Drosophila melanogaster: one gene and its partner. The protein of the gene in region 1 interacts with the protein of each later gene in a pairwise test. Each region holds a gene or a part of one and is shown on either strand. Other genes may lie near its edges. The genes, in order: Vdup1 and CG13742.

Evidence for each region.
Region 2: the proteins of Vdup1 (region 1) and CG13742 interact in a two-hybrid assay, tested with the Drosophila melanogaster proteins (one large-scale study listed by BioGRID).

What each region holds. Positions count from the first base shown.
Region 1 is NT_037436.4:175,694-180,801, forward strand, and holds Vdup1 (vitamin D[[3]] up-regulated protein 1), read right to left. Parts: upstream 3,271-5,108; 5' UTR 3,140-3,270; intron 2,943-3,139; exon of another isoform or gene 2,804-2,942; intron 2,613-2,803; exon of another isoform or gene 2,181-2,612; 5' UTR 2,145-2,180; coding exon 1,689-2,144; intron 1,636-1,688; coding exon 1,453-1,635; intron 1,387-1,452; coding exon 997-1,386; 3' UTR 809-996; downstream 1-808. Other genes in the region: CG7049 (uncharacterized protein), read right to left, coding at 1-510; CG13875 (uncharacterized protein), read left to right, coding at 5,084-5,108.
Region 2 is NT_033778.4:9,083,963-9,089,431, forward strand, and holds CG13742 (uncharacterized protein), read right to left. Parts: upstream 3,671-5,469; 5' UTR 3,669-3,670; intron 3,609-3,668; 5' UTR 3,596-3,608; coding exon 3,344-3,595; intron 3,289-3,343; coding exon 3,125-3,288; intron 3,059-3,124; coding exon 2,952-3,058; intron 2,852-2,951; coding exon 2,631-2,851; intron 2,571-2,630; coding exon 2,416-2,570; intron 2,365-2,415; coding exon 2,253-2,364; intron 2,131-2,252; coding exon 1,983-2,130; intron 1,931-1,982; coding exon 1,759-1,930; intron 1,756-1,758; exon of another isoform or gene 1,703-1,755; coding exon 1,402-1,702; intron 1,361-1,401; exon of another isoform or gene 1,340-1,360; coding exon 782-1,339; 3' UTR 738-781; coding exon of another isoform or gene 700-737; 3' UTR 640-699; downstream 1-639. Other genes in the region: CNT1 (concentrative nucleoside transporter 1), read left to right, coding at 1-14, 71-398, 459-639, 700-737; Dbp45A (DEAD box protein 45A), read left to right, coding at 3,949-4,024, 4,080-4,621, 4,680-4,846, 4,904-5,262, 5,329-5,469.

The DNA of each region.
Region 1 (5,108 bases):
GCCATTTGGATGTCGCCAGTTCACGCCGGCCACTTTGTACCACCAGACAGCGCTCGCCACTCGGAAGTCCTCTAGGTTCTTCTGCTCCAATGGGCTCAAAAGGCTCTTAAACAGAAAACTGTCGCCATATCGCTCAGCCTCCGTGGTGTAGTTAGTGTGCAGAACAAACTTCGCAAAGGCTTCGTTGGAAACCTCATACTTGTCGATGTAGAAGTCATTCAGCTTCACCTGCCGTTCCGGAGCCTCGCGGTCGGCCGGAAAGTGCGGTTTGTCAGTACCCATGTAAACCGTGCCTCCCGGAAGCAGTGACATGTCCGCAATATTTGGCTCCAGTTCGCCATAGTAATCCCGGTAGTGGCTGTGTGCACCCTGTGCTCGTTGCTGGCACACTTGTCCGGAAATGGACGGCATATCCGGGGCCTTCCGGTCGAGCTTTTGGCAGCCACAGTCGCTGGATACGTCATTGAATAAAACTATCCAAATAAAGAGGACTAATATAATTGTTGTCATCTTAACGTGCAGTGTGGCCCTTTTTAGTTTTGGAATCAATACTTAATTTCGCGAATTTAAATTCCGAACAAGCCAGCTTTTTAATAGCATACTTTAGGCTGTAACGTTTTAAACAATTTATTTCAATTTCAACAACCATACTTTTGGGATTATTATTATTATTATAACCATTTAGTAGTAGTTAGAAGGTTAATGAGTGCAGTTTTACCATTTTAATAATATATAACCTACAATATTTAGGTTTTATAAAAAGTTATGTATATGAGCTAATTATAATTTATCAAAGTCTGGTCTTTATGTTAACTTTCGTTTGTATTTGTTATAAATTCTTCAATCATGAACAAATTTTTGGGAACGGAAGACCTACAAATGCAAAGACCAGAAACATTAAAAAACGTTAAGTATAAGTTAAATAAGTTTAAATTGTTGTATGGCGCAAATCGGTCTTAACAAGTTGTGATACACAGCAATCCTAAAAGCTGCGGGCTATGCCTCGATAGGCTTCTCGTGCAGCCAGGGCCGGAATATGGGTAGTGTGGACGGATAGTGGGTGTGCGTGTCCGGCTTAAGCACCGATTCCGGCCAGGTGTTGGCATTGACCGCATCACCGGAGTGTCGAAAGGGGTACGTCGCAAGCACGATAGGAAGCTGTAGCTTAATCTCCTTCTCCATGGACTTGGGTTCGATCACGAAGAAGACGTCGTAGGATATTTTGATCAGGTGGCAGCCATGAAGATTGGTCGGCGGCAGGGGTGGAACGTAAAGCTCGTTGTGCCACTCGTCTTTGGCCCCCGGACGGATCTTGCCACGAACTAAAACAGCCAGCTCCCGTTTTTCCGTTTGCACCACCTTCCCCCGCGCCAAATACTCGATGGTCTAAATAAAATCCAAATAAGATCAAAATGGATGAATTGTAACTAGCCACTTGAAAGCGATACCGACCTCAGTGAGGGATGCCTTAGTCCGTTTAATGGACACATTACTGTAGTTGGATATAAATGCGGTGACCAGAATATTCTCGCCGGGCACATACCCACCGCGATCAAGGGACACTCTGCACTTTATCTGACCTCCACCAACACAGACGACGCCTAGCTTGTGCTCAACTTCGCAGGTGAACGGTTGCTGAGTCAGGCGAAAGGTTAGTTTTTTTAAACAGGGTTTTTAAAGCTACTTACTGCTAAGATGGGCTTTTCAAGGTTTAGGTCGATGGGATTCATCACAATGAAGACCTGGTGGTTCTTATGGATAATGCCATTGTTCTCGCGGAGCGCCGCCTTGCAGTAGAACTGAATCCAGCCGTACCGACCGAGAAATGTAGATGGAAGACCCAGTGGCAAGCCGAGTTTGAAGGGGAAGCTGTGAATTCCTGGCGAGAGTATAGCTGGACCTCCTTGGTCTACGTCCCCCAGAAGTCGCATCCGAAAGTCGATATAGTTCTCCTTATCGTATGTCCGCTCCTGTCGCCGCCCGTTGCGCACGACCCCTTCGCCTACCACATGGAAATGAAGTCCCAAAGCAGGCGTCTCATCCTGCAATTCGATTAGAACCCGTCCGGAGAGAAACTGGCCCGGGAAGTACAGGAGGGAAGTGTTGTCGAAGATGATAAGGAATTTAAGCAACTTGCGCGGCATCGTGCCTCTGTTTTGTTGCCGATTTCATTCGTACGCCTAAGGAAAAACCAACGAAATTCGTTAGAACACGGTTGCCAAATATTTGACCCGCTCCGCACGCGTCATTATGGTTAATGACAACTTATCCGTCATAGCTGGCTAGGTCTGAGACCATGTACTACGGACTACGGTCTCACATACATACGGCGCTTGTTTGCATATTTATGTGGGTAGCATCTAGGCGGGCAAAGGAAACAAAACCAGTTTCGTACGGCCAAGAGATGGCTGCGTGCACAACTATGCAGCACGAAAGCCCCGAACACTTAAGCATCAACTGCAAGGTCGGCGCATGAAGCATGTCGGGCGTGTCACGCCCGCGCCTACAAATTTGGGCAAAACTCCAGTATGTACATCTTTACCAAAAGCGTAAGCTGCAACTGCGACTGTCGGCAAGCCTGTTTGGTGCACTGGTGACAATGTTGATGATTCCTGATTGGGAAACAGAAACCGAAAAGAAAACTGACGTAATTTCCTAGTGGAAAGCGGATTCCCAACCGTACACTGCCATTGGAATGATTACATTCAAATTGTTCAACATTTTTGTTTTTATCCACAACAGATCAATTGTTTTCTCTTCATCCCTGTGGGCGCACTTGAAATAATGATCGCTTTTCAAATACCTGTACACACAAAGGTGTTTTTTGGCCAGATCGGAACACCAGTCCAAACCGAACCGATTTAACCCGTTCTGCCTTTGAGCGATATTCGTTTGGCAAGATCTCGTCCACGCTCTCGAGCGTTTGTTTGGCAACTGATCACCGTCGTCGTCATCGTCGTCGTCGTTATGCATCAGTTTGCGGACGAGAGCTCGACTGAAAAACTTGTTTTGAGCGCGTTTTTGCGAGGGATCGTTTGAGAGAGGCCCAGCCGGAGCCAGCTGATGTCGTAATGCCAATAAGTAGCCCGCTTTTGTTTTTACTATCTTTTGCATTCATGTAATACATGGCTGAATTTACCTTTCCAGCGGGCTTACAGGATACGCAAAGCGCGTATCTTCTTGAATAAATTCAAACGGAAAAAACTGGAACGGCACCACAGACAACAGAAGACCAAACGAGCATGAGAACCAAATTGTCACCTCAACGGTTAGCTAAGCTGTTCAAACTGAATCGATTATAGGAGCAATTTGCTAATAATATGGCAATGCTCGCAGAGTCGCCCCGCTATAGCTCAGCAGGTGTATCTTGTGTTACTCGGTTGCACCTAGAAAATAAATCTGTATTTCCAACACCAAGCCCATATTTTACAGGTATTTATCCATAGTCGACAAATCGTGTGCAGACTAAAATGGATAAAGTGGCACACATTTATGCATTATGCATGCATTTAATACCGGTTATTTGTTGTTTTAAGGTACCCAAATCGAAGAACCTCAACTGTAGCTCATGAAAATGAAAGGCCAAAAGCCAAGCAAACTATCACTGGCTGCGAAAACCGAATCGGTGAATGGCTCGGCAGCCTGTGGCAAGCTGTGGCAAGCTATGGCTATACCCTGAAAATTAGTCAAAAAATGAGTCCTGTGGCAGATACCTTGAAAACTTTATTAAAAGGAATCTGTAGGTTATCCTTATGATCGACAAAGTATAAGATAATATTAGAAAGAGTAGAGATGCAACGATGGTCAAACTATATATGGACTGAAGAAATCAATCGTTTTGAAGACTATGCTGGCTATAAGAGAAAACAAATCACTTTCGTATTTAACTTTTCCAGCTTTTCATATTTCTTCCAACGGCATTAGTGACATTTAGTAGCAATGGCTAGGCTATAGTTTTCCATTTCAATGTTTCTCGGCTTAATTGCTGGGAGTTGTTGTTTTATAATGACCCAAGTCTTTACCGCGAAGAGAGATTTCAACGAGACTCCAAAGATTTCCCGTTTGTGGCCTCGACGTATAGAGTATCTGAAAATTAGGTTGTTTCGAATAGAGACGTCTATACTAGTTTGGTTCAAAATGATAATCGCTTGAGCTCGAAGTTTCGTGGAGCCCACAACTAAGTATTCTTGAGTTAAAGTCAGTGTGGTTTCAAAGCTGCTCCGCGCACCACCGAACCGATCTCCGAATCTCAGCTCTGTTTATCATTTTTCTGAAAGTCCGGCGCTGAGGAACCTATAGTAAGCCTATCTCCATCTCTTATAATAATAGCGAAAGCCAGACGTGAAGGCAGAGAATATCTTGGTGTAACATCAATCACCAAGGGGGAGTGGCTGGTCCACTCCATAAACTTACCAACGATACCGTAAAGTCTCAAAGAGAAAAACAAGAGGTGTAGCAGAGCTACACCTGCAAAACTTTCTCATGCCCAACTGGCTGGGCGCATTGGCCACTGTTTTCGTTGCTCTTGCCTTGTTTCACCTCTCTGGCACGCTCTCCCTTAAATCGAGCTGCTTCTATGTCCGACTTGGGGCAGTGGCTCAGTTGTGGCGAAGATACCGAGCGCGCTGGTAAGGCACGGTTCGCATCGAAAACTTTAAACTGTCTTCGGTCGGGCCAGTGGAACGCGAGAAAGTTAAAATTGTAACAATAAAGACACTCATAATAGCGCTCCGTGAGTAACTTAGTGTTTACATGAAGAAGGCTGATTCTAGTTCATCACTGGTCCAATCGAAGCGCCATACACAAGTTACCACAGATTTTCATAACTAGCTAATGACCGAAATTGACACGTTCTGACGGCCGCAGCCGATGAGAGGACCTTATTCTAAAGAAGAACTGTTAACTAATTGTCAGCTCTGCTTACAAGCGGTTAGGTTGCATAAATTACACCAAATGGTTTGTTCGCCACGCTTCTTATACCATATCTGTATTAGCATATCTAAGGTTCTCTTTTGGCTAACCCCTTCCTTTGTGATGCCTCCATAGAGCACTAGCTTACACAATAACCAGTAAAGGCTTCGGGATGCAGAGCCTACCACTACCAGGAG
Region 2 (5,469 bases), on another chromosome or scaffold:
AAGCTGGAAAGCTCGTAAGTTCCTCTTCATAAGAGTCAACATTTGATAATCGCCCAGACACCTTGCCAAGGACGGATACGTCTATTTTGGATGCGGCCGCCTCGGGAGCTGCAGCAGCCTTGTTGATTGTGCTCGGAATCGTCTCGAATATCATCGCCTTCCTAGCCATTGTGTTCTTCCTAGACGCTGTAACGGAGTGGATTTTCGAGCTAATTGGACTGCATAACATCACCCTACTCTACATTCTCTCCCAGATCTTTATCCCGATTGTCTTCGTGATGGGCGTGCCGTGGCACGATTGTCAAGCAATTGGCCTGGTGGTGGCCCAAAAGTCGTTCATAAACGAGTTTGTGGCTTATAGAAACCTGGGCATATTGGTTAGCGATAAAAAGGTTGATGTGAGTACCCATCTGCATATTCTATTCTTATAGATTATTTTAAAACTAGTATTCTTATAGCCGCGGAGCGCTGCCATAGCCACTTTTGCCCTTTGTGGGTTTGCCAATCCCGGATCCCTGGGCATTGTCATCGCTTCGCTGAGTGCAATGGCACCATCCCGACGATCAGACATCACCAGGGTAGCCTTTCGATCCTATTTCGCAGGCAGTTTCGTTAGCTTTACATCCGCTTCGCTTGCAGGTAAACTGTCTTTATTTACACGTTATTTTTAACCGCCTTATCGCACAACATCTTAATTAGGGATTCTTATTCAAAATGAGTACACAGGTGGTAATTAATTGATTTAGGTAAGTGAGCGATACGAAAAGCATAGAGCAGGGAGCTAGGGTACAATTCCACTCAAATTGGCCATTACCTTCTTGAGCAATTCCCAGTCGGCAGCATCGAAATTCGCGGTGCACTGGGTCAGTTGAAGAGAAGCCTCATATATATTACGAAGGATTTCTTTAGGCGCCAATTCACTCCGTCGACGTTTTAGACTAGAGACCGGACATTTATGATCTCCATGGCGAATGTAGCTTGATTTACTGAGATCAAATGAACCGTCGACAACAGTTCCGGGTTCGACATGCAATGCCTTAAACAATGGGTATATTGCATGGCGGGCACTAAATGCTCTTAGTTGGGCGTCATCGCTGACTTTGCAGGAGTCGAGGAATTTCTCGCGATACCAGTTTGTGCATCCAGCATTTGGAGGCAGTCCCCTAAGTATAAGTAATTTGGTGGATCCATTCGCACGCGCTAGTAGTTTGAAGTAAACATTAGCAAAGCTAATGCTCTTGTCAATGCCTAAAAGTTTATTGGCCATTTCCGATGTCCGCTGAAACCAATGGGAACAGTCGATTTGATCGTGGTGCACCAAAAGTTCCAGTAGAGCAACCTTTGGGTATAAAAAATCAAGGTATGTATATCCATTTTATAAGTGTACTTCTACTTGCTTACCACTTCATAGTACAACTCAACTTTTGTGGGCGCTGAGGTGGAGATGAGTTCTAAGCGCTTCAATATCTTCATTCCCACGTGGCCATCTGATTTTGCGACGACAGACAGGTGCCGGAAGTTTTGAATGCTTATGACAGGAAGTTCCTGCTTTCCCAAGCAGTGGAAGTACCTAAGGAATCGTTGTACATGCAATTGGCTTGGATTTGTGGAAAACATGGCGTAAGAATTATTGCACTTATGCCAGTGAGCCATAGCCTCTTTTATGGCATGATCTGTCCAGCATTTGTTGGCCTCTTTTAGCCTAAAAACATAGAATAGTGAAATAAATTTTAAAATGTATGATTTATAATTACTAACCGAAAGCACAGCATGAGAATATCCGCACACACTTGCGATGTAATAAAATCCTTTTGAAATATGCCGGCACAGAAATACCTATGTAGTTCTATGTTACCCACTAAATACAAAAGACAACCAAACGCATCCAATACTTGATTATAGCGTTCGCCGTGAACAAAATTTTTAGCATCTGTGGGCTCAGTAAGTAGTAAGAAATAAATATGATCGAATCGACACCTTACCTTTAAACAAATATTCAAAAGTTTGTTGTAATGTTCGGCAAGTAGATGGGAGCACATCCGCATCGTCTGTAGACACAGCATTAATAAAATCCATGCAAGCGTCGAAGTAGTCAAATTTTGGTGTACCAAGGACACTGGATATTAAATACTAAAAGGACAAATTTTAGTAACATTAACAAAATCTGATGATGTATTGTATGAATGAATAGTTTTCAATCAAAGTCTATCCGAAGACATTTATTTGCAAGCGATTTCTGAATTTCATCTTACTTCTTGACATTTTTGGAACTTGTAAAGCAGCTCTAAAATATCTAGTACATGTGGTCGTACTAACACAGAAATTAGCTGTTGCTTCTCGATGTCAGAGTAATGTGATGGCCTCCTAAAAGAAAATACAATTATTGCAAATAACCATTTCATTTTTCAAACTTACGTTCGTTCACACATTATTAAGTCCATCAGACAAACAGCTACATCATCATCAACATACACCACACCTTTTTGAAGAATATGATATAACAATACAATGTAGGTCCTGATACCATCTACAAGCTCCTCTAACTTTTCCGCAGGAACAATACGATTGTCCTAAAAAAAATGTCTTGTTAAATAAACTCTTTTACAAATCGTAAGCTTTGTTATACGAACGATGTCAAAAGTACTATTCAAGTGAACGGTAACCACATCACATAGATGAAAAACAGTTTCCCTAAGCCAATTGGGCAGTTTTTCGTCTGTAGGATTAGCATGCCAGGTTGTCATGAAGTGCAAGCAAATATGAGCCAACGTCTCGCCTGTCTGTACAGATAACTGCAGATCACCAGTGCGTGTTCCTTCGGTATCTGCGATTTCCATTATCTTTTGCATCACTGACAATTGTTTAATATAAAGTCTATAATTAGTCTACAACAACTTTCAGATAATACTCAAATTTTTGGGTGTATCAATTCGTTAGTATTCCTAACTTACAGGTCGCAAGGCGAGGGTGGACTTCTGTCAAATTAATGATAGAATCCTTTATTAAAGAAAGCGTTTCGAGTTGAAGATCCGCAACAATCTGGCGATGACTCTTATCGCTGAATGATGTAAGCAAAAATATATAGAAATATTTTACATATAGGTTTTATCCAAGCCCCTCTTACCACATTAAACAGAAGTCGATAATTGTAAAGACAAGATAGGCAAGGATTTGAACCAAACGTTCGCCTGCTTCCAGCAATCGATCCCTGAATGTGGATACAAATTCTTGTGCCACAGACATGAGTTTTATATGACCGCTGTGGACTTCATTGCCAGTTTCTGCTTCCTGAGGACGAATTTAAAGTTAATAGACTGAAGCGCATTGTGTAAGAATTACCTACGATCGTGAACCACTTGCACATTTCCCGAGCTGCTAGTACACAATACCCGGAATCGTCGATGTATGCTCCTAATAGTTTGGTGAACCACAATGTCAAGACATCCACAGGATTCGCGGATTTATTTGCGATACATGCTGAGCAAATGGAAACCGCCGAATCAAAGTCTATCATCAGGATGATGTCCTTCTGGTCTATAGCCACCAGCTCACTGTAGGCTACAGATGCACCCAGGCTATCATGGTTTTCGGACATCTTTGCATTGAGTCTAAATCGAAATATTCAGTGTGTTTACAAAATGATCGCGCCCATAGATGCGGAATCTTACCTGTCTAGAGCGTGACTATTGTCGATTAATTATAAAATGTATTATTAATTTTATAGTGAATTTTTTCTTATTACTCGCCAATAATTCTGCGGTTGAAGTAAATAAAAAATTTAATTGAATTTAAATTAAAAATGCGTACTAAATACAGCTAACCACTCACACGGAGCAAAAATTAAAAACGTATCGATAGTTATATACCGATACAGAAGACAATACTTCCATCACTAATACAGCGCACGTTGTTTTCCTTTTTTATTTCGTTGTATTTTTATTTACCGAAATGCAACGAAAGGAGGCCAATCCCTTTCAGATCCTGGGCCTACGTCCATGGTTGGTTAAGCAGCTGACCAAGTTGGGTAATGTCAAGCCGTCCACGGGTTTACCCAAGTAATTAAACCATTGCGCTTTCAGGCCTGAAGGGAGCAACTCCAATCCAACAGAAATGCATCCCAGCGATATTGGCGGGCCAGGATTGCATTGGAGCTGCCAAGACGGGCTCGGGCAAGACCTTCGCCTTTGCCCTGCCCATTCTGGAGCGGCTGAGCGAAGAGCCAGTGAGCCACTTCGCCCTGGTGCTGACGCCCACGCACGAGTTGGCCTATCAAATCTCCGAGCAGTTTCTTGTGGCTGGACAGGCGATGGGGGTGCGCGTATGTGTTGTCTCTGGCGGCACAGACCAAATGGTCGAGAGCCAGAAGCTTATGCAGCGACCGCACATCGTGGTGGCCATGCCCGGCCGTCTCGCGGATCACCTAACCGGCTGCGACACCTTCTCCTTCGACAATCTGAAGTATTTGGTTGTTGACGAAGCGGATCGCATGCTGAACGGAGACTTTGACGAGAGCCTATCCATCATTGAGCGCTGTTTGCCAAAGACAAGGCAAAACCTTTTCTTTTCCGCAACCATGAAGGACTTCATAAAGGAGTCCAGCATATTTCCCATTGCCAGCGATGTAAGTTTTATGAATACCCTGTTGAATGGTACTAATAGATATCTTAATCCGAATGTAGTGTTTTGAATGGTCGCAGGACTCAGACGTGGCCACTGTAGAGACTCTGGACCAGCGTTATCTGCTGTGCGCCGACTACGATCGCGACATGGTCTTAATAGAGGCACTAAGAAAGTATCGCGAGGAGAACGAAAACGCTAATGTCATGATCTTCACCAACACAAAAAAGTTAGTTGCACAATAATAGGAAGTAAATTCTAAGGATTTAATAACGAATCATTTTAGGTACTGTCAGCTTCTCTCGATGACACTGAAGAACATGGAAATCGATAATGTTTGCTTGCATGGTTTCATGCGGCAAAAGGAGCGCGTAGCTGCTCTAAGTCGCTTCAAGTCCAACCAAATACGTACACTGATCGCTACGGATGTGGCCGCCAGAGGTCTGGATATACCCAGCGTCGAGCTGGTTATGAATCACATGCTTCCCCGGACACCAAAGGAGTACATCCATCGCGTAGGCAGAACAGCAAGAGCGGGGCGCAAGGGCATGTCCATCTCCATATTCCGCTTTCCACGCGATCTAGAGCTTTTGGCCGCCATTGAGGAGGAGATCAACACCAAACTTACAGAGCATCCCATCGATCGTAAGTTTTGTTGGAATTAGTGGCACACAAAATAACTATCTTTAATATATATATTATATAAATTAGAGCGCATGGTGGAGAGAATCTTTATGCAAGTAAATGTCACGCGCCGTGAATCAGAGATGCAATTAGATAATAACGATTTCGACGAGCGAGCGCAAAACTATAGGCGAAAGACGTGGATTATGGAGGGGAAGGACCCCGACC